Linked DNA regions of Arabidopsis thaliana. The protein of the gene in region 1 binds, or shares a complex with, the protein of each later gene. Each region holds a gene or a part of one and is shown on either strand. Other genes may lie near its edges. The genes, in order: EIF3C, EIF3E, AT4G20980 and TRIP-1.

Evidence for each region.
Region 2: EIF3C (region 1) and EIF3E share a complex: the UniProt entries of both Arabidopsis thaliana proteins name them as parts of the eukaryotic translation initiation factor 3 (eIF-3) complex.
Region 3: EIF3C (region 1) and AT4G20980 share a complex: the UniProt entries of both Arabidopsis thaliana proteins name them as parts of the eukaryotic translation initiation factor 3 (eIF-3) complex.
Region 4: EIF3C (region 1) and TRIP-1 share a complex: the UniProt entries of both Arabidopsis thaliana proteins name them as parts of the eukaryotic translation initiation factor 3 (eIF-3) complex.

What each region holds. Positions count from the first base shown.
Region 1 is NC_003074.8:20,832,674-20,838,846, forward strand, and holds EIF3C (eukaryotic translation initiation factor 3C), read right to left. Parts: upstream 4,603-6,173; 5' UTR 4,392-4,602; intron 4,202-4,391; exon of another isoform or gene 4,179-4,201; 5' UTR 4,148-4,178; coding exon 4,124-4,147; intron 4,036-4,123; coding exon 2,281-4,035; intron 2,041-2,280; coding exon 1,117-2,040; 3' UTR 737-1,116; downstream 1-736. Other genes in the region: AT3G56160 (Sodium Bile acid symporter family), read right to left, coding at 5,060-5,137, 5,217-5,318, 5,394-5,514, 5,636-5,721, 6,109-6,173. UniProt on the Arabidopsis thaliana protein: Component of the eukaryotic translation initiation factor 3 (eIF-3) complex, which is involved in protein synthesis of a specialized repertoire of mRNAs and, together with other initiation factors, stimulates binding of mRNA and methionyl-tRNAi to the 40S ribosome.
Region 2 is NC_003074.8:21,195,719-21,201,237, reverse strand, and holds EIF3E (eukaryotic translation initiation factor 3E), read left to right. Parts: upstream 1-1,918; 5' UTR 1,919-2,164; coding exon 2,165-2,384; intron 2,385-2,482; coding exon 2,483-2,637; intron 2,638-2,745; coding exon 2,746-2,973; intron 2,974-3,062; coding exon 3,063-3,184; intron 3,185-3,504; coding exon 3,505-3,724; intron 3,725-3,803; coding exon 3,804-3,946; intron 3,947-4,142; coding exon 4,143-4,280; intron 4,281-4,352; coding exon 4,353-4,452; 3' UTR 4,453-4,721; downstream 4,722-5,519. Other genes in the region: INO80 (DNA helicase INO80-like protein), read right to left, coding at 1-106, 238-670, 792-1,170, 1,275-1,362, 1,567-1,626. UniProt on the Arabidopsis thaliana protein: Component of the eukaryotic translation initiation factor 3 (eIF-3) complex, which is involved in protein synthesis of a specialized repertoire of mRNAs and, together with other initiation factors, stimulates binding of mRNA and methionyl-tRNAi to the 40S ribosome.
Region 3 is NC_003075.7:11,214,977-11,220,287, reverse strand, and holds AT4G20980 (Eukaryotic translation initiation factor 3 subunit 7 (eIF-3)), read right to left. Parts: upstream 3,408-5,311; 5' UTR 3,292-3,407; coding exon 1,516-3,291; 3' UTR 1,501-1,515; exon of another isoform or gene 1,220-1,500; 3' UTR 1,110-1,219; exon of another isoform or gene 908-1,109; intron 721-907; 3' UTR 650-720; downstream 1-649. Other genes in the region: ACA4 (alpha carbonic anhydrase 4), read right to left, coding at 1-30, 114-328, 426-516; AT4G20970 (basic helix-loop-helix (bHLH) DNA-binding superfamily protein), read right to left, coding at 4,076-4,150, 4,433-4,798, 4,898-5,029. UniProt on the Arabidopsis thaliana protein: mRNA cap-binding component of the eukaryotic translation initiation factor 3 (eIF-3) complex, which is involved in protein synthesis of a specialized repertoire of mRNAs and, together with other initiation factors, stimulates binding of mRNA and methionyl-tRNAi to the 40S ribosome.
Region 4 is NC_003071.7:19,002,506-19,007,568, forward strand, and holds TRIP-1 (TGF-beta receptor interacting protein 1), read right to left. Parts: upstream 3,228-5,063; 5' UTR 3,003-3,227; exon of another isoform or gene 2,917-3,002; 5' UTR 2,889-2,916; coding exon 2,705-2,888; intron 2,557-2,704; coding exon 2,341-2,556; intron 2,246-2,340; coding exon 2,112-2,245; intron 2,015-2,111; coding exon 1,895-2,014; intron 1,785-1,894; coding exon 1,695-1,784; coding exon of another isoform or gene 1,674-1,694; exon of another isoform or gene 1,602-1,673; coding exon 1,515-1,601; intron 1,415-1,514; coding exon 1,335-1,414; intron 1,227-1,334; coding exon 1,151-1,226; 3' UTR 653-1,150; downstream 1-652. Other genes in the region: GBF3 (G-box binding factor 3), read left to right, coding at 6-131, 217-396; AT2G46290 (Transducin/WD40 repeat-like superfamily protein), read right to left, coding at 3,405-3,480, 3,583-3,662, 3,750-3,836, 3,932-4,021, 4,124-4,243, 4,344-4,477, 4,574-4,789, 4,925-5,063. UniProt on the Arabidopsis thaliana protein: Component of the eukaryotic translation initiation factor 3 (eIF-3) complex, which is involved in protein synthesis of a specialized repertoire of mRNAs and, together with other initiation factors, stimulates binding of mRNA and methionyl-tRNAi to the 40S ribosome.

The DNA.
Region 1 (6,173 bases):
GGTGAGGCTACCCCACTAGTTATCAATTAATAGTTGTTTGCCATATAAGCTTTAGATCGTAGAAATTAGCATATAATAATTTCACATTTCTTAAGTTGTATGTTCGTACATGTGCTTGGCAAATAGTGATGGTTTCAATATAAATTTGTTGTCTTAAACTCACATTGATTGTTTCTCTATTTATCGTTCTTCGTACTTAAGCAATCATTTTTCTAGTTGACAAATACTTTTGCACGGGAGAAGGAGATGGTATCTCAGCTGGCAATAAGTTGTGGTTCAGAAATTCTATTTGGTATGTAAGCAAAGAAAAAGGACATTTAAATCATCAACATTAATTGTGCAGATTCAACATAGAGTAGAGAGAGAGTGACAATAACTAACAATATGAGTGATGTGAAGATTGCTGAGAGAATCTTTATCCGGCTCTTATGAGTCCTCCAGTCTTGATCAGCTGGCCAAAATGTTTGACGTCTCTGAGCCGCAAGTCCACAGCATTATTATCCTTTTAAGTGCAGCAGAAGAGCCTTTCACTCCACCGGATACTTCTTCAGCATCTTTATCCGGCTTTGGCAAATGCAACCATGTCACTTGTACTAGTTACTACTTAGTACTTACTACGACAAGCTTGTGTTTCTTTTTTGTATCTGTGTTTGCCATACAACATGAGTTATAATAAGATAAGAGTTCCAAAAAAAAAAAAGAATTTTCTCAACAATATTCATTGTCGCTAGCTCCACGAAAGTAGCCGATTAAATCACAGATGTTCTTGATAAGAAATTAATCAAACACTTCATCGAGAGGAAGTTACTAAGCAAACAAAGATGAAAGAGTAAAAGACATCAACAAAAACAGACCTGCAAGCATACGAGAAAAAACCTAAGCCTTCTTCTTTTCAACAAGAATGACGCATAAAAAAAAACTTATTAAACTTTCCAGTAAAGCATTCTTAAAAGTCTTTTCCAACAACTGCCAATATCACAAAGAAAATAAACAATCACAATGCGAGAAAATGTGATGAACATCTCTTAGAAAGAACCATTTGATAACCAAAAGGAATCCAAAACATAACAAAAGGTTGAGACTAAGGTCAACACTGCAGATTTCTCCTCATCCTCTTTAAGTACGAACACCTCGGTTAAGACTCACCATACGGCTTGAGCCATCCATCTGCATACCTCTGTTTCCTGAACCAACTCTTCCTGCATACCCTCCTCCTCGGTTCTGCCCTGACCACTGACCATTTTGTCCAGATGATCTTCCTCCACCATAACCTGATCTGTTGCCTTGTCTTCCTTGTCCGTAATTCGCCTTGTCTTGCCAATATCCACCACCACCTGATGCTGCTCCTGCATAGTCCTGATTGTTGTCCCTTCTCCTTGAACTCAGATCCAGACCACCTCCACCGGTTCTAGATTCCATTGCCCTCTCATTGCTTTCTGCCAAAATCGAGAGTTTCTCCGTTAACTGGAAAGCCAATGATTGTAATCTGCTGTGTTGCACTTCATGGAAGACGATGCATCGTGTTGGCTGATCCCAGCTTGCATGCAGTTCCTCATTAATCATCATCTTACTCACAATGCTGTGGACCTGCGGCTCAGAGACGTCAAACATTTTGGCCAGCTGATCAAGACTCAAGGACTCATAAGAGCTTGAGTATGTGAATAGGTAAGTCCTTAGAGCCTCTTCTTTGATCCTATCCTTCACCATGTCAAGGATGCTGTCACGGTTCTTGAGCAGCCTCCAGACCTCAAGAGAGTTCAAAACTTCAAACGCCTTCTGGAAATCTCCTTTGGTCAGGGCTCTGGTGGCTGCCATGACATGGTCACGTACATTCTCAGGCGGTGCAGTGAATGCTTGCCTTTCACTGATCTCGAGCAGGCGGCGGAAATTCTTGCTAATCACTCTGCGTTTGGCATCGTGCGAGTTTGCAGCCATGTTTGGGACTTCAAGAAGCATGGCACAGATGAGATGAACTGCCTCCAGAAGCTCAAGGTTTAAGTGCATGTGGTACGGCATTTGTCTTCTCCTTTCCATCCTTTCCTGGTAAATCAAGAAATAAACCAAGAAAGTTTTATATCACATATAAATAAACTGAACGAAAAACATAACCATAAGCATCCATGTTGAAATAGAGAAAATGGATTGTGTGAAATGAAACAAAATGAAGAACCCAAAAATGCAACAGTGTTTGTAATCATGTCTCAATCAGAACTATCTGGTCAAACAATTTTTTTTCAATCCTATCTGTATTAAATCTAAAAACAGAAGATAACTAGTTACCTGCTCCGGGGTTTTCTCATGGTATCGGCTTTGCGAGACACCTTGGGCAAGCAACTCTCTCACTCTTTGACCAGAGTACAGCTCGGAAAGGCAGCTATGGGACTCAGTGATCATTCCAGCCCGGAAGGCGCAAAGACCAAGCTGCGCCATGGTCCTGTTAAAGAGAATCTGTGTTGAGATGTCCATGTGCTGGATGTTGTCTTGCAGATGACTCATCAGCAACAGGTCTCTAGCAGTCACAAAGTTGTCCATTAAAGCATGGTGATTGATATCACATAGCATCGCACGCGCTTTGGTCCGCTCATCTCCATTTCTGTAGATAAGGGACACAAGAATATCCATCATAGCTCGGCTGCTCTCTGGGAAGGTAGGCTTACGGGGAACAACCTCCGGAACAACAATAAATGAAGTAGGAGGTCCACTTTCCTCTTTGGCCTCCTCAGTTTCTTCTTCTTCTTCCACCAACTCAGCCAATTTCCTCATTGCATCATAAACTTCCTGGGGCTTGTAGTATATTGCCTCAACACGTCTTAAGGCTACCTTTGCAGCAGCTTTAAAATCACCCATCCGCTCAAAGTAGTCCTGGATGTTCTGAGCAAGGGCCAAGAACATGGGCTCATCCCTTAGCCTCTCAACATACTCACGGGTGTGAGGATCAATGCATTGCAAACTCTTGAAAAACTCAGTGTCAACCCTCTCCAAGAATGCAACCAAATTTCCCCAGACCCGAATTTTTCCATCATAATCTGTTGGCTTTGAAGTTTCGTTCTCATCAGGCTCAACTGTGTCATCCACAACAATGTTACTGTACTTGACGAGAATGTCCAGTATGGTGAGCATGTTAAGCACGCATTTCTTCCAGACATTGATAGGCATGTGCCCGCTGAGACCTGGATTCACATCAAACTGAGCCGAAATAACGCTAAACAAGATTTCAAGCTTCTGTGCAGGAGTCTTGGCAATCTTTGTCAAGTGCGTAAGCTGATCAACTAGCTCAAATCGAGCAGTGCCCTTTTTTCCACGAGCAGCCACAATTTCCTTGAACTTCTTGTTGACCCAGTCCCAAGTGATCTCTTTAGGATCTTTATTCATTAGCTTCTCCAAAAGCTTATCTTTTTTGCTCAGCATCTTCTCCCAAGTGAGATTATCAGTAGGTTCATCCACATCGGACCCAGGATCTACGGTAGGTCCGTCGATGGAAGAATCATCATCATCTTCAACCTCATCATCATCATCGTCATCATCATCATCATCTTCAGGTTGTTTCTCTTCCTCAACTTCTGGAGCCTCACGATACTTGTTGATATCGTCTTCGTACAACTTATTGTTCTTCTTCAATTTCTGTTTCATTGAGTTCAAAGCCTTGGAGTTACTAGTACTCATCTTCTTCTTGGCTTCCTTATTGGCAAGAGCTTCATTCAAGAAATCCTCCAACATAACAAGCGTCTTGATATACAAGGTAGGAGGCTTCACAGCCTCAGTAATCCTCATAACCTTCTCAAGCTGTTTGTTAACCTTATCAAAGTTTTCTTGAAGGCTGACCCAATCATTGATCTTCATAGCATTCTTCATCTGATCAACAGTGTAGGTCATCTCCTCAAAACGTTTATCCTTAGCAGGCTTAACCACACGTTTCGTATCAGTATCATCATCATCCTCACTACCACTTTGAAGGTAACGGTTATTGACGTCATCATTCTGAACCTCATTAACCTCTACCTCATAATCACTTTCATCTTCACTTTCACTTCCAACCTATCAACATAACAAGTAAAAATCATTCAGAAACTGAAGCAAGTAAAGGTAAAGAGAGTTTATAAACAAGAGGTCTGTTGAAGGAAACCTGAGTGAAAAAACGAGACGTCATCTTTTTAGCTGGAAGCGTAAGCAACAAGAACCTGATACACCAAAAGTAACAAATCTGAATAGTGAATCAGAGGAACGAAATTATAAGTAAAACAAACCAATCCATTCGAAGAACATAATCTGAACGAAACAATCGTGTCACAGATACAGACTCGTATCAACAAAGAATTAGAATCGATTCGAATCAATCTACACCAAACTAGAATCGAAAATTTGTTACGCTAGATGATGAGGAACAAAATTACCTGAATTCAGAAGATGGAGATGGAGATGGAGATTTGCGAAGGAGATGCTTGAGGAGGATTACGAATCTAAACAAAAATGGTGTGTAGCCGTCCAAGCATTTTGGTCGAGATGAAAAAATATATAGAATTAGGGTTTCGTGATTTACTCACTAAACCGGATTCGATTTGATTCTATTTCCATACCGAAACTGAAAACCGAGGACAATTAAAACGCTCTCGATCGGTTTTTATTTTATTTACAAACCGAATTGGTCGAACCAGGACTAAATGAAATTGTAGTGATGGTTAGTTCAATTAAATTGAGAAAAGAACCGGTTCTTAGTCCTCTTTCCTAGCTGCTTATCAGACAGATTACATATGAATTGCTTTGTACGCTGGTAACGTCAAATGACTAAATGTTTTCAAATATAGATACAAGTTTTTTTTTTACATAGTTTCATAAATCATACAAATTGGATCAGCAAACACCGACCGGAATCTCTAGAGCATATACATACAGAAAGAGAGAGAGAGAGAGAGATGGTCAATGATCAACTAAGCTTTGGTGATTGGAAAGATATCAAAATCCCCAGTCTTGCTGCTATGTATATAACTGACATTCAGTGTGTTTAGGATGTAACCTTCTCCACAGCATTGGTTTCATTGCTTTCTATCTCTCTCTCTCTCTCTCAAGCTGTCTTTACTTTAGTCGAAGTATCTTTTCCTCTCCGGAGCCATAAGTTGACAAGAACTGAATCAATCATGATCTGTAACATTCCAGATTTACGTCAATAATTTATAAAATTATGCACACAAGTACATGATGATTATAATACAATTTGTAACCTGGTTCAGGTGTGCAGCTACACAAGGAAGAACCAATAGCCCTGTCTCACCAAATGCACCTCCTAATTGCTCTACTACCGCCACCATTACCGGTAATGTTTTCTATGCCACCACAAGAAAAGAACTCCCAAATTTAAGAGATCAAAATCGGTTCTAAAAGGCAAACTCTATTATTACCTGGCTTGAAACGAGCAAAACTGCAGTGCTGTTTTCCTTGGAGCTCTTGCTACCACCTGTAAGACCGGAGAGGATGCGGATTGAAACAGCATTGAATGCTAGTAGAGAAAGATGCAGCAATCTGTAAGAAGACGTAAGAATCTTCTGTCAAACGTAATCCGCATTTCTAACACACAAGCCAAATATTTCCATGAGCTTCTTCACTTGGTATCTTTTCTATATGTTAAAAGAAGAATGCGTACATTCCAATGCCAACTGCTGCAAGGAAAACCTTAGGTTGAACGGATAGTAGCAGTGATCTTGACCTGCTCACTTGGATCCATGGCACCTAGAATATTAATCATGGAATAAACACTATTAAGTTCCCAAAATAACCAGGTAAATGCAATAACAAAGTCAGACCAGTTGAAGTAGCCAGGGAAGCAGAGGTTAAACTATAAAAAGGAAAAAAGTATTAAGTCCTTCTATCTCCAAAGTCATAACCGTGACTGCAAATATGGTTTTTGCAATTTAGTAAAAGCTTTGGATTGGCACATCAATGCCACGGAATGTTGAAATCCCAAGCTATCATACAAGAAAAGAGAAAGTTTTAAGTACAGGCATCTAAAATGCCAAGTTTAAGATTCCTGCAACAAAGCAAAACTCCAAGGATATGACTTCAGAAAGTTATTCAAGGGGTGTAGAAATTACGGGAGACTAACATTTCATATCTTACCAAACTGAGGCAGATTGCGTTGATTTTCGAAAAGAGTTTACGGTTATTGTCAACAAAGTTTGCGA
Region 2 (5,519 bases), 360 kb from region 1:
TGACAATATTGATCCAGGCTTTTCTAATTTTATCCCTTTCTGTTTTCTCAATGACTGCAGGATCATTCTTTGCTTTCAGCTTCTTCGGTAGACTTCGTTTAACAATCTGAAGAAAGGATACATAAAACAATGTCGGAACAAAAAGATAATGTTGTTAATAAAGCCATGAATGAGCCATGAATGAGCCATGAAGGATTCAAAACTATGATTCATAAAATACTGCCACAGAATCCAAACCTCGTATGTATCCCCCTTCTCCAGAATCTTCACGTAATGGACCTGTAAAACACCACCCTCAGACAGAATTGTCCGTGCAGTACTTCCAGCAGATCCTTCTGGAATGGCAGAATTCATTGCAGCTTCTGACACCTTGAGGCTAAAATTTGGGGTGGAGTTTGAAGGTGACAGGGCCTTCATTCTAGCTTGAAGAGATTCATATTGAGGTCGAGGCTCACCCATTCCATTACGGCTTCTTACTCCAGACCTTTTATCACTTGCCATCAGTTCTGCTAATGATCTCAGATCCAGAGTTCCTTTCAAGTAAAATTCTTCCACATGAATGTCTGAAAAGCTCGGTAAGTTTAATGATGCCACCAGCTTGTCATAACTTGGGGGGATTTTGTAGATGACACCATCACCAATGTCCAAATACGAAGGTTCATATGCTATCCTGCAAATGATGCAAAATTCAACGTGTCAATCTAGGAAACCCAACACCGTAAGTTATCTAAGCGGATTACACAGGGTTACACGGATCCCATGGAACATGAAAAAACATATGATCAACATACTTGGGTGTAATATCACGATCATGGTAGCTTCCTCGCCTATGTGGGGTCACATCAGCTGCAAAATTTGGAGAGTTGTCCATGTCATAGAACCTCCCATGGTAATCATTCCCTGGTTTCCTACCTCTGTAACTGCCCACATTGCTCTTTAGCACCGGAAAACCCATCAGATGAGGAGGATTCCCTTGAGTCTCCTTGGACCTATTTTTGAATTTTTGTACATGCTCCCCAAGCATTGATCGGTAGTGCTCCTCAGTAACATGTTGATTGTAGAGATCATCATCGTCCTCTGCATCCTCAGCTTCTGTCCACCGCTTTCTCTTCTTGGAGCTCGCATTCATTCTCGATTTAGACCCATTGCTGTAGTTTGCCACTACCCCACCTTTAACCATTACCAACCATATAGACAGAACACAGATAAACGTCACTTAAAACTATCACAGTAGGTGGCAAAAGTAATTCCATAAAACCAATTAAAAACTGTACCTTGAGTGCTTCTACTTTCATCCTGGCTACTACTCCCATAATAATCAACTTCATCTTCAGGTTTCGGAATTCTAAACTTCATCAACGGCTGCAAGAATGAAGAATTTAGCCACAAAACCCACACTGAATTTCAACAGTAAAACAAAAACACACTGTAGAAACAAGGAGAAGCTATACAATTGCAAGATTTCCAATCACCAAAACTACATTCATCACAGTCACATGATCATCATCCAACAAGTACAAACCATCAATTTCAAGGAAATCACAAAAAAATTGAGACCTAACAGACCTCGAGATCGAATAGATTCGCGTAAGGAGAGTCCTTCGGTGGTCGTCTTGAAGGATCCATGAGAGACGGGAAGAGAATAACACGGCGTCAAAATTTTGGAGAGTCTTAATCCTTAAAAGCTTCTAGACAGAAACATTCGTCACGAGAAAGAAAAAGAGTTCGTCTCGAAGAAGAACCCTAATCCAGTATGATAGAGGAAGAGGGCGAAAGGTTAAAGACGAACATGCGCAAGTTAGTGGACACAGGCGGTACAGAAAGAAGTCCAGACTACTAACATACGCCAAACGAATAAAGCTTCTTACCGTGCGCCTCTCCACAAAAAACATTTAATTATTATTTTTTCTTAACCCCTCCGGTACCGGCCGATCAGATAACGACGGCTAAGTTATCGTTTTGGAGATAAAAATACCTTGTGGGGTAAACAACAATATATAAGAAGTAAAGGGGCGAATTTATAAATATTGAAAGCTCATATTCGAGAAAACCCTAATTTCAATATACAGGATTTTTTACCTCGTCGTCTCTGAAACTTCATCTCTGCCGTCTTAAGAAGATTTTGCCAGTGCGGGAAGCGGCGGAGATTGAGAGATTAGCGACGATGGAGGAAAGCAAACAGAACTATGACCTGACGCCACTAATAGCGCCTAACCTGGACAGACACTTGGTGTTTCCTATATTCGAGTTCCTTCAAGAGCGTCAGCTTTACCCTGATGAGCAGATCCTGAAGTCTAAAATCCAGCTTTTGAACCAGACGAACATGGTTGATTACGCCATGGATATTCACAAGAGTCTCTACCACACTGAAGACGCTCCTCAAGGTATTCTTGTGTATTCCTCTCTGGATATGTCTGTGAATTTGCGTTTTTGTGTACTGGTTTGTTTGTTTGATGATGAATGTTGAAATTTGTGGTGATAGAAATGGTGGAGAGAAGAACAGAGGTTGTCGCTAGGCTCAAATCTTTGGAGGAGGCTGCTGCACCACTCGTGTCTTTTCTTTTGAACCCTAACGCTGTGCAGGAGCTAAGAGCTGACAAGCAGTACAATCTCCAAATGCTCAAGGAACGCTACCAGGTTGTGATTTGGATGATTAAGTTGTTTAATTTTGTGAAATGTTATCCAGATTTGGTTTTGTTTGTGTATTGTGGAACACAAATCTTATATGGCTTGGTGTCTTATCAGATTGGTCCAGACCAGATTGAGGCTTTGTACCAGTACGCCAAGTTTCAGTTTGAATGTGGCAACTATTCTGGTGCTGCTGATTATCTTTACCAGTACAGGACCCTGTGCTCTAACCTTGAGAGGAGTTTGAGTGCCTTGTGGGGAAAGCTCGCATCTGAAATATTGATGCAAAACTGGGATATTGCTCTTGAAGAGCTTAACCGTCTCAAAGAGATTATTGACTCAAAGGTTAGTATTTAAAACTTCTTCTAGTTTGCGACCTTTGAAATCAATATAGATGTGAGAGTATATATGCTAACTACCATTTGTTTTTTCAGAGTTTTTCATCGCCGTTAAACCAGGTGCAGAACAGGATTTGGTTGATGCATTGGGGTCTGTATATCTTTTTTAACCATGATAATGGAAGGACACAGATCATTGATCTTTTTAACCAAGACAAGTAAGCCTCTACCTCTCTGTTATCTGCATCTCTTCTTTATACCTTTCATCACCATCTATTTCCTTGCGTTTTAAGATAAGCATGATCTAGATGCGATGAAGTTATGTATAGGTGGTGTTTGTGTGTAGAACTTTGTTTATAGTTAATGTTAGTCCTGATGTGCCTACAAGTAATTAGCAGTCACTAGTTTTAGAGTCTTCTCCTTCTTTTCATCCAGACCTATTCTTAAGATTGTGCTTTGTGTATGGGCATTTGCTGAAAAATAATTCACTTTGTTTTCATGCTGCAGTTCTGTATACTAATTTGATTTACTTTTTCAGGTATCTGAATGCCATCCAAACTAGTGCTCCACACTTGCTGCGCTACTTGGCAACTGCTTTCATTGTCAACAAAAGGAGAAGACCACAATTGAAAGAATTCATTAAGGTCATTCAGCAAGAGCACTACTCCTACAAAGATCCAATTATCGAGTTCCTGGCATGTGTGTTTGTCAATTATGACTTTGATGGGGCTCAAAAGAAGATGAAAGAGTGTGAAGAGGTAACTCATCCACATGTATAGATATTTTTGTTTGTGCAGAACTGTGCAATCAATACTCTGACATTTTAACATGATGTAGGTCATTGTGAATGATCCATTCCTTGGCAAGCGAGTTGAGGATGGAAACTTTTCAACTGTACCACTGAGAGATGAATTTCTTGAAAATGCCCGCCTATTCGTCTTTGAAACCTATTGCAAAATTCATCAAAGGATTGACATGGGGTAAGTTCTCACATTTGGTTGTATATGTTTACACATAACTCTGCTCTCCGGATTGCTCAATGTTTGGAATTTTCTCTATTCCTTATCTTTCCCAACACATGAAAATTGCCATATCCAGCTATTTAAGTTGAGAAGAATTGTTGCGGTCTTGTGGTTTAACTTTGTACTCATGTCGAGCCTATATTTCCCTTGTCAGGGTACTTGCTGAAAAATTGAATCTGAACTATGAGGAGGCCGAGAGATGGATTGTGAACCTAATCCGCACCTCAAAGCTTGATGCCAAGATTGATTCTGAGTCAGGAACTGTAATCATGGAGCCTACTCAGCCCAACGTGTAAGTAGAATAAGCTTAAATCTATGATATCATTCGTATTCTACAATCTAATCTTGTTTCCGCTTTATGCAGGCATGAGCAGTTGATAAACCACACCAAAGGCTTATCAGGACGAACATACAAGTTAGTGAATCAGCTCTTGGAACACACACAGGCGCAAGCAACTCGCTAGTCAAAATTTTGCTGTGGAAGCCTTTCCTTGATAAAACTCACCTTCGGTTGACTGGAATTATTTTCTTTTTCTTGCTCTGAGTTCACCTTTTACTTTGAAAAAGATTATTATGGAGTTGTTCTATTTGAAATGTTGGATCCACAGATTGGAACATTTTCCAACCAAATCAGCATTTTGTATCCACCCTAAGCATTTAAAGGTTTTTGCAAGCCAACGTAAATTACTGCCTTACATTGAGCATCTCTGATTTGCGTAATAGTAAGTACAATAATAGCATATAACAGAAGTAAGAAAAACAAAACTTAAGAGTTAAGACTATGACAGTGGAAAGAACAGGTCACAAACAAAACAAGTATATCAATTCGTAAATAGTATAAAGTTACTCCAGAAGTCCAACTCGCCAGAGTCATCAAAAGAGAGAAGATAAATTCAATTTCTTTGGAGGTGGGTGCCCTCCAGAGAGTACCACATAAGAATAGAAACACAACATGCAATGGAAATGGCATATAGTGTGTTTTGATCTTTCCAGTGGATCTTTTGAAGCGAGTATGAAAATACCATTTACCACTGATGGTCGAGTTACTATAAGCAACATGAAGGACCGTTTGTGTATATCAGAGGGGAAGGACATGAAACAAGAGATATGGTCATTAAACTCTCGCAAGAAATGGGAGAAGACGTATTCGATTGATTTGAATAGAACTTCCATTTGGTGTCGCCGCCATCCGAATTTGCCAACAAAAACAATCACAACATTTCAGAAAAATAAGATTTTGCTTCATAATTGGAAGATAACTGGCCGTACTTTAATTATACATGATCCGGAACAAAATTCTTATGATTTTAGCTTTTAAATTTCAGCATAAAGGGGTTTCTAACTTTCTATCGCTTATTTCCCAAGTTTACTCACTGTATAACTGGTAGACGCATTATTTCTTATTATTGTTTCAGGATTGAGCTAGCAATAACTTTTCTATATTACTTATGTTTTAGTCTTCTTTCTTTATCTCTTTTTATTTATTTATTACTATGATATTCGAATATAGACAATCAAAGCATATCTCACA
Region 3 (5,311 bases), on another chromosome or scaffold:
CATCTTCCCAGCATCTCCTTTCCATGATACCTTTAAGATTTCAAATGATTAGTGTTGTAATAATAATATAGTTAAGTGAGAATAACTGAATTCTATAATAAAGTTTTACGTACCATAATGTCATGGCCTCTGTTTGTAATTACAGCCGGAGCTGGTTTATATTGTCTTGTCCATGCTTGATCATGAATAAGACTGACTCTTTCGTTAGTAAGATCGATCGGGGATTGATATCTTCCGGTGTTACAAACTTTCCAGTGCGGATTTATTTTGCCCCATCCCTCTGGTCCCTTTTCCGTTTTTTGTTCGTAAGTAAATGGAGTTTCGTCGTCTGTTTTCAGATTAAAGTTAATAACAAATCATTAAATCTGAATTTTGATACAAAAGATTAATTTTACTAGAATGCAATAGAGATGTAGTAATCATACCGACTTCAGAATGAGCGTGTGAAATATTAGGGAAAGATAGATAGATGAAACACATAGCCATGAAGAAAATTGTTTTTGCGTTGGTATCCATGTTTCTCTTCTTTCGAGATTAGATTTTGCTTAATGGAGTATGTTATTATGTTTTGGAGATTGAAGGGTTTAGAGACAACCTATTTAAGAGGAGGCTTTTGGGGGATGTTTGTTCTGCTGTTCTGATATGGTTTTTGCCGTTGCTACGATTATTAGTTAATAATCTGATGTTACTATTGGAAACATGAAAAAAAAAAAAAAAAAACTGAATGCTTAGTAAAAACCATTTTGGTTGAGTTTTCTAATTTGGGGTTTATAATAATAAATATATGTGAAGTATGTCGGTTTAACAGAGATTAAAACCGACCAGGACAATAGGATCTATGTCAGTTTAACAGAGATAAAAACCGACCAGGACAATAGGATCAAGCTCATAAGAGAATACGCCAAACGACCGAAACAAACAAAAGTTGGAACCATAAAATACCAAATTTTATAAAACTAATGCAAAATGATTCAAGAAAATTTGGTGGCTATAAGAGTCATAGTAAAAAGATTTCTGTTCTGTAAACAATCCGTAATGATTTTCCAAAAGATGTCACGAAGATAGTGTTCTACAATCTCATTTCTGACTTAAAATTACAGCAGTACCACAAAAATTTGAAAAAGGACAAGATAATTAAAAAAGGAACCTCCATTGTTGTTGTTTGATTGAAGCTTCAACTCTCAAAAGAACCCAGAAACGAAAGGTGTAGACTTTGGACCTGAAGAATATAGTATCCAAATTGTGAATGACGATGCTTCATACGACGTTTATACTTATAATAAAGATCATCAATTAATCTAAGTCACCAGTTTCTAAACTATAAGAATGAAATTCAGATGAATAAGAACAAGATTCTATGGCTAAGAAGTAAGAACCAACTTTCTGCATTTTCTTGGGTTCTAAGTATAAATTCACGATCCTAAACAAGTGTTCAATCAAATCCAACAAGCATATTATGGTAACCGCCTTTTGAATTTGAGAGTTGTTTGTATGAACTACCTGACTTTATAACCATCAAGCTTGAGCATCATCAGCTTTCTTCTCCTCGGTTTCTTTAGTTGCAGCTACACTTGCTTCTGCTCCCTCTGTGTTTTCCTCAGTTGGCTGAACCTGTTCATCTTCAGGCAACGGTTCCTCAACGTAATCATTCTCGAAAGCATCAGGTGGAACCTCATAAATCCTCACTTGAGGCTTCGATGGATCCTTCACAAGAACATACTTCCCTTCGCTTAGTTTCATACACAGATCAACTATGGATTTCACAATCCCCCACATGTTAGAAGTGTTGAGATTAATCTGTCCAGCGAAATCCTTCGGCTTATACCCCAAAACAGATAATATAACATGGTTGAAATGATCACGAGGATGAACCCTAGAGACAAAACCAATCTTCATCATATCAGCATTAGCCAATAAAGCTTGTGCAGTCCATTTAGCCAACTTATTTCCATTGTTCTTCAATTCTGTAGCTAAAACCGCACCTCTCTGAGTTTCAAGCTTCTGTCTCCAATCAACACCAGAGTACTTAGGATCAAACTCGTTAAGAGCATTCAAAGTAAGAAACGACCTTTGGTTGTTGAGATCAGCAACACTCTGTAACTCACACCTCGCAACAAGATGCATATTATCATCAAGCTTCCACCTTCTATACCTATAAGCAACAGAAGCAATCTCTTCACCTTCATTAGCAAATGGATTGGCTTCATCAAAAGTTTCCTTCTTTCCATCTCTAACCAAAACCTGCTGCGAAAAGTTCTGATTGATGTAAGCAGCTTCCACACCTAGAGAATGAGCAGAATTGATATCATCTTTAGACTCAGGCAATGGCTCTTGAGATGTCTCATGCACAGACAACAAATCAAGCTGTGATCCATCTCTCTTGTCAAAGAACAGTTTGTTACCAACACGTTGAATAACAATATCCCAAGAGTAAACAGATCTAGGAGCACACATAAGAGCAGCTAATATAGCATCAGTAGCGAAAACAGTAGCTTTGTCTTCCTTAGCTAAACGCCTAATCACAGGATCATCACTAGTAGTGACTTTGAAGAAGTTCCTGTTCTTGAAACGCTCGAGTCTGCGTTCGTTTTTCGGCGTTATGCGATCGAAAAGGCGGTTGTAGTACTCAAGGCCACCACAGAGAAGAAGATCTTCTGGTTCTTGAACTGTGTACGAGAGCTTCGAGAATGTTGAGAAAGGGATCTGCTCAAGCATGTTCCACTCCGGCTGAATATCAACGGATGATTTGAAAGCGGCAGCTTCACGGCGTTGGTGATGGATGTTGTTACGGTTGTTATTGTAGAGACGATCACGACGAGCTCGTTCCTTCTCAGCATCACGCTTCTTAGCTTCAACTTCTTCATCTCGCCGTTGAGGAAGCTGATTCCGATTGTGGTGAGGATTGAAACGCCATTTAGGTCCGAATTTAGGACGCGGCGGAGGTTTACCGTCGACGAGACGGAAAGCTGCGTCTTCGTCGGGATTACCACCGGAGGAAGCGAGACCGAAGCCTTCGTCGATTGCGAAAGCGGAGAAATCGAAAACTGCAGACGGATCTGATTTGGATCCGGTGTTAGGACGAGCGGATGGATTAGAGAGATTGCGAGTCCAATCAGCTACACGGCCGAGCTTATCGGAACGGGAGAAGGAAGCGAAAGGAACGTTCGGGAGAAGATTAGCGGCGGCGACGCTGGTGGGAGAGGCGGAGGAGGAAACGTCGGAAGCGTCTGGAGGTCCCCAGCCATCGGAATTGAAAGGAACGGCGACGAATTCGAAAGCTTCGGTTACCATTTCTGAGAAGATAGTGTTGCAGCTGTGTGTGTGGAAAGCGGAAACCCTAATTCTTTAGTCTACGTTGAAGAGAGAAGGTACAAGAAAAAAACATTTTTGTTAATGTTTGGGCTCATGGGCTTTAGTATTCTTCAAAACCCATATATAACACTTGAAGTCTTAAATCATGTTTTTCATTTCTGACTTTGAGAAAAAAATAAAATAAAATAAAAATTTAGAATTCAAATTCATCAATTTGAAATAGTATAACACATTTTTTTTTGATAAACTCTATTTGCTGATCTGGTCAGCTTCGATAGAAACGCACCAAAGTGCTCCGAAGTAAACTTTTCCCGAAGGACCACAACACTATCTGTCCCGAATTTAAATGTTTTCTAACTAATACCACGGGATATTCAAACTCGGATCTGAGAGTTTCACCTATCACCAAAGTTTCTCCTATCACTAGATTACAAATGCTTGGGCAAGTATAACACATTGAAAAAAGGTGAAGTTATTTCGCTCGTTCATGTATTAATTCTAAGAAACTTTTTTTTTTGGTTTCGTTCTTGAAAATCATCATCCTAAGTTTCATATATTTCACAGCTTTGTTGATACCAAAAAACAAAATATATTTCACAGCTTTAAGTAGAGAAAAGTATATATTATGCTTACAAATGAAACATCACTCTCACAGCACATGATACAATTCAAGAAAAGGAATCTAGCTAACACCAAAAATAATTCAAGAAAAGGAACAAAAACATAGAACTTTTTTTTTTAATAAAGGAACAAGGAATCAATATTAGTGAACACTGTTCACAATCTTCTCCAGTCTTTCAGGAATTTGACTCCTAGCTCCATAATCGTGTTCTTCCACCTATATAAAATATAAATTAAATTTAGTTTACTAACATATGGATATTAATAGGAATCAGCTAGTAGAAACTTAACAATCAGATGGGAACATGCAGCTTCTTAGCGTTTTTGAGTGCAAGTTTTATTAAATATAAAAACAACAAGTATAAATATCATTCCCTAACTTTGAACTCATTCCCAATGTGTATACAAGCTGGATTAGACCTAGTTTTAACATAGTAGTAGTAGCAAAGTTTGATTCTTAAATTCCATTGCAAAAAATGTTTTACTTTCCGAATTATACCTTGCAGTGAAGGGTGTGGAAGACAGCATCATCAACAATGGAGTATCCAGCATGAGTGATCTCAGCTCCTAATTCCTCGGTGAGAACACGAATGATCTCACAAAACATAAACTTGTGTTCCAAGCTTGTCACAAGAAAGATGTGAAAAATGGAACCAGTTTCTTGAATCTCGATTTTTGGCAGCTTTCTTGGCACGGAGACATCGACGCTCGACGAAACCGATGAAGATCCGACGGAATTCAGTTTCTCCAAAGTTGTAGTCGCAACGAGGTTCCTTTTCCTTTCTCTCTTTTTCTCCACGTTCACTTGTAGCTTCTTGATGTAGTTTGCAGCTTCATCTAGCTGATCAGGTAGTGTTAAAGGCTCCTAACATGAAATAATAAAAGAGTTTAGAATATTAAGATCATCACCCATACATGGAATCTTAGATTATATAAGCATATAAGAGGGCCAAGAGGAAGAAACCGTAGAAGAATGATGAGGAAGAAGAGAGATGAGTTCTGAGTAGAGAGACTTCATTTGCATCCTTCTATTTTTCTCAACCGTTTTGCGATCTACAGATCTTGATTGACCTGTGTTTGAATGGCTCGGCTCCATTTCTTTTTTTATTCCTGAATTGTTTCACATAGACCATGATAACAAACTCAATGTTAACCAAGCTTATATAAAGAAGGAGGTTGGTTTAAGTGACATCTGATAATTAGTTTGTGCTAACTATTTACTGGAAAAGGGTTTGTAATATATATGTACCAAAGACTAAAAAAAAAAAAAGCAAAACAAAGTGGAAAAAAGTAAGTTCTTTAAATATATATCTTGACTCGTCGTTATGGTCAATTATATATTTTATGTGTTCATATATAGTTTTTAATGGTTCTGTTA
Region 4 (5,063 bases), on another chromosome or scaffold:
TGAAGGCCGAGACAGAAGAACTTGCTAGGAAAGTGGAAGCCTTGACAGCCGAAAACATGGCATTAAGATCTGAACTAAACCAACTTAATGAGAAATCTGATAAACTAAGAGGAGCAAATGCAACCTTGTTGGTAAGTAAGCTATCATTAACCAACAAATTATCTTTATGAAGGCGTGTCATTTTCTTGAACATGGCCGGTTCTTTTTGGGTTGCAGGACAAACTGAAATGCTCGGAACCCGAAAAGAGAGTCCCCGCAAATATGTTGTCTAGAGTTAAGAACTCAGGAGCTGGAGATAAGAACAAGAACCAAGGAGACAATGATTCTAACTCTACAAGCAAATTGCATCAACTGCTCGATACGAAGCCTCGAGCTAAAGCAGTAGCTGCAGGCTGATCGATGGTAATTCATGTCGATTTCTACTTAATTTGTCGACATAAACAAAGAAAATAAGTGCTACTAATTTCAGAAAAACTTGATAGATAGTATAGTAGAGAGAGAGAGAGAGAGAGAGGTGTGATGATTATTGATCTATAAATTTTCGGAGAGAGAGAGGGAGAAAGAGAAACTTTTCCTCCAGATGAAAATTTGGTGTTATGGTTTGTTACTGTTAATATAGAGAGGCTTTTCTTTTTTTATAAAATGGCTTCCTTTGTTGCATTTCCTTGTTTTAGACCTGATGTAATTTTATGAAATCGGTGTTATTGCTTTGCGTAAGCTTTTGTTTCTTTTGTCAAGGTTTCATGCATAAAGGATCTTTCTTTTCAGGTTTCATACATCTCTCTCCGAAAATTTATAGATCCAATAATCATCACGAATATCACAAACATTATGAGTCTGTCTTTGGGTGATTTTCTTCGCTACTCTTGAGGACTGTCAATCACACAAGGCATTCTTTTCTACAACCGAGTTTATTTTATAAAAGCTGAATATTAATGCTCGCTCACACATAGAGCAGGTTAATTAACTTGTACTGAGAACTCTGGAAATGAAAACTAAAGATTCTGTCAAAATTCAAAAGCTTTATCATCAAGGTATTTGTATTGGTAGTAAATAAAAACATGAAAATGTTAAAAGAGAGAGAAAACAAAATCCGGAATGGGAGACTTTTTCAAAGATTCTAAAAGGTTGACGTTCAAGTAGTCGGAATCTAAATCTTGATGTTGAAGTAGTCGGAGTCAAAATGATGCAGCCTCACGTAACCGTCTTCACCTCCACTAGAGAAACTGAAATATACATTCCACAAACTCAGTGAGAGAGCCAAAACACACACTCAAAACCTCATCATGTGAGGATTGTGTCAATCAATCAAAATCCAAATGTTGTTAATTTACCTCTTCCCATCAGGATTGAATGCCAAAGCATTTATAGGTCCAAAATGACCTTTCACACCACCAATTTCCTCTTGCAGAATCTATATATTATACCAAACACAATGATACACGGTTATTTAAATATGTGTATTTTCCAGGTTACATGTTTCCAAGTAAAACACTCTTATTATAAACACTAACCTTGTCGTAAAACTTAGCTTCAAACTTTCCAGCACGATGATCAGTGGTAGTCACAGCTGATGCATCTTGACCACCTCCAAGTACAACCTAAAAGAGAGAGCAGAAACATTCACAAAGATAACATCATGCCTTGCTGATTCTGGGATTCGAAATTGAATTTCATGAAGCATTAGTGCATACATGGTTGAGAAGTGGAGACAGGGAGACAGCATTTACGGGCACCACAGTGGTGTAAGTCTTAAGAAGAGTCAGCGTTCTCATGTCCCAAAGCTGAAACAATCAACAAAAGAGAACACTCTATTAGATGATTTATATCTATATGTATAGTGCAAAAATTTGAAACAAGATATACTGTACAAGTAAAAGAAAGAAGCACATGCCTTTGCAGTTTTGTCAAGTGAACCTGTAAGGAAGTGAGAGTCATCAGCTGCTTTGCAGAGCGATGTAATGTCCTTCTTGTGACCCACTTCCTCATCTGATTGCTTGAGCAATTTTCCCGTCTAGTAACAATGGCAGTAGCACCACATAAGGTTTAGTTCATAACCTTAAAAGAGAGAAATTAATACACAAGTAAGGCCTTAAGAAAAATTGAAATACCTCGGCATCCCAGATTCTGATAACTTTATCTTCACCACCACTAACAATAGTTTGGTTCAGGGGACCCCAAACAGCTCTATTGATCCTCTTCTTTCCATCAGGACAATGAAGGACAAGCACAGACTCAGCATCCTCTACACAATTGCATCAAACAAACAATTTCCTTTTAACACATACAAGAAGTTGGCTAAAACGTAAGTAGTAATTCAGCTAGGAATGTACAACTTACGTTCCTCAGGATCTTCCGCAATACGCTTCACATGAATAGCAGCGGTACGGTCCACGAAGTGATCAGTGGTAATCACTGCAAGACGATCTCCAACAGCGAAATCCACAGACCTCGTAGGGGCATTAAACTTGAAAGTGAACAATTCTTTTCCAGATTTTACATCCCACAGCTTTGCAGTCTGATCAGCACTACCAGTGATCAATCTTGACGAGTCTCCTAAGAAATCACTAAACATTCAGCTTTGAAAGACTAAGACGACAGAATTCACTCGATACTATAAACCCTAAACAAGCTTGTAGCTAAGGGGAAACAATGAATCTAATCATCGACTCGATACTATTTGAAGAGAAATTGAGAAACTTACGGGAGACATCACAGCACCAAACAGCACCGTTGTGACCACGGTAAGTTCCAAGGCGCTCGCCGTTATCGGCAAACCAGAGGGTGGGTGTGTGGTCCTTGGCGCAGGAGAAAAGCAGATCTCCTTCTCTGTTGTACCTCAGAAACGTCAATGGACGTTCATGTCCCTTCATCAGGATCGGCCTCATCTTCAGTTTCTTAGGGTTTGATGCGAATCTTTGAAACAGATACGAAATCGAATCAATCAAAAGACAAGAAAAATAATTGAAGAAACGATTACGGAAAACGGCTTTCTTCTTCACCTGTTCACTTGAAGACGAGAGAGACGACGAGGAAGAAGTGCAAAAACCCTAGGAAATCAACTTTGTCCTCTCTTTTGACACTTTTACCCTTTTGTAATTTTTTAAATTACTCGAGATGCCACAGTTTAGCAAAGCTCAGTGGCTTCAGCGTTTTTAGCTTCTTCCCTATTTGATGAGTTCGAACCTCGCCCGTTGCGCCTATTTTGTTTTTTTCCTTTCTCAAAAGCAGTTTCATACGTTTTTTTTTTGTGGGTGCATATGTCTATTTGAAAAGACAAACAACAAGCTTTATCATCAAAGTAGTATATTGGTAATTTGGTAGTACATCAATTCTGAAAATGTTAAAAAGAGAGAAAATATTATGTGGAATGATGAAAAAATGGAAAGACATGTTCAAAGAATCTAAATCTTGATGTTGAAGTAATTGGAGTCAAAATGATGCAGTCTCACGTAGCCGTCTTCACCTCCACTAGAGAAACTGAAAATACATTCCAAAAAACACTCAGCAACAAAGCCTAAAAAACACTCTCATCAACTGAGGATTGTATCAATCAATCAAAATCAAATTTTGTTAGTTTACCTCTTCCCATCAGGACTGAATGCCAAAGCATTAATAGGTCCAAAATGACCTTTCACGCCACCAATTTCCTCTTGCAGAATCTATATATTATAAGACCAAATACACAGTTACATATCTCTTTCCAGGTTACAAGTTTTTAAATAAAACTGTTTTACTGCAACACTAACCGTGTCGTAAAACTTAGCTTCAAACTTCCCAGCACGATGATCAGTGGTAGTCACAGCTGATGCATCTTGACCACCTCCAAGCACAACCTAAAAGAGCGAGAGCAGAAACATTCACAAAGATAACATCAAGACTTGTTGCTTTTGGGAACCGAATTTGAATTTCAAGAAGCATTAGTGCATACATGGTTGAGAAGTGGAGACATGGCGACAGCATTTACAGGCACCACAGTGGTGTAAGTCTTAATAAGAGTCAGCGTTCTCATGTCCCAAAGCTGAAAGAATCAACAAAAAGAACACTCTATTAGATGATTTATCTCTATATGTAATATGTATAGAGCATATTTTTGAAACAAGTAAAAGAAAGAAGCACATGCCTTTGCAGTTTTGTCATGTGAACCTGTAAGGAAGTGAGAGTCATCAGCTGCTTTGCAGAGGGATGTAATGGCCTCCTTGTGACCCACTTCCTCATCTGATTGCTTAAGCAATTTTCCAGTCTAGTAACAATGGCAGTAGCACCACATAAGGTTTAAGCTAATAAAAAAAAAAAGAGAGATATTGATAGACAAAAGAAAGGCCTTAAGAAAGTTGAAATACCTCTGCATCCCAGATTCTGATAGCAGCATCTTCACCACCACTAACAATGGTTTGGTTCAGGGGACCCCAAACAGCTCTATTGATCTTCTTCTTTCCATCAGGACTTTGAAGGACAAGCACAGAATCACCAACCTCTACATCAATTACATTAAATCAATTCCTTTTACCCATACAAAAAAGACATAGGCTAAAAAACATAAGTAGATTTTAACTTAGAATTGACAACTTACGGTCTTCGGGATCTTCTGCAATGCGTTTGACATGAATAGCAGAGGAAGTTCCCACGAAGTGATCAGTGGTAATCACTGCAAGATGATCACCAACAGAGAAATCCACAGACCTTGCAGGGGCACCAAACTTGAAAGTGAACAATTCTTTGCCAGATTTCACATCCCACAGCTTTGCAGTCTGATCAGCACTACCAGTGATCAATCTAGACGAGTCTCCTAAGAAATCACAAACAAAACACTAATCGTTAAGCTATGAAAGACTAAAACAACAAAGACAACGACTTAAATCCTAAACTGAATCCATTCCATCCACTATATACTATTTGAATTTGAGAGGCTGAGACCACTTACTGGAGATATCACAGCACCAAACAGCACCACTGTGGCCACGGTAAGTGCCAAGACGCTCGCCGTTATCGGCAAACCAGACTGTGGGAGTGTGGTCTTTGGCGCAGGAGAAAAGCAGATCACCATTTCTGTTGTACCTCAG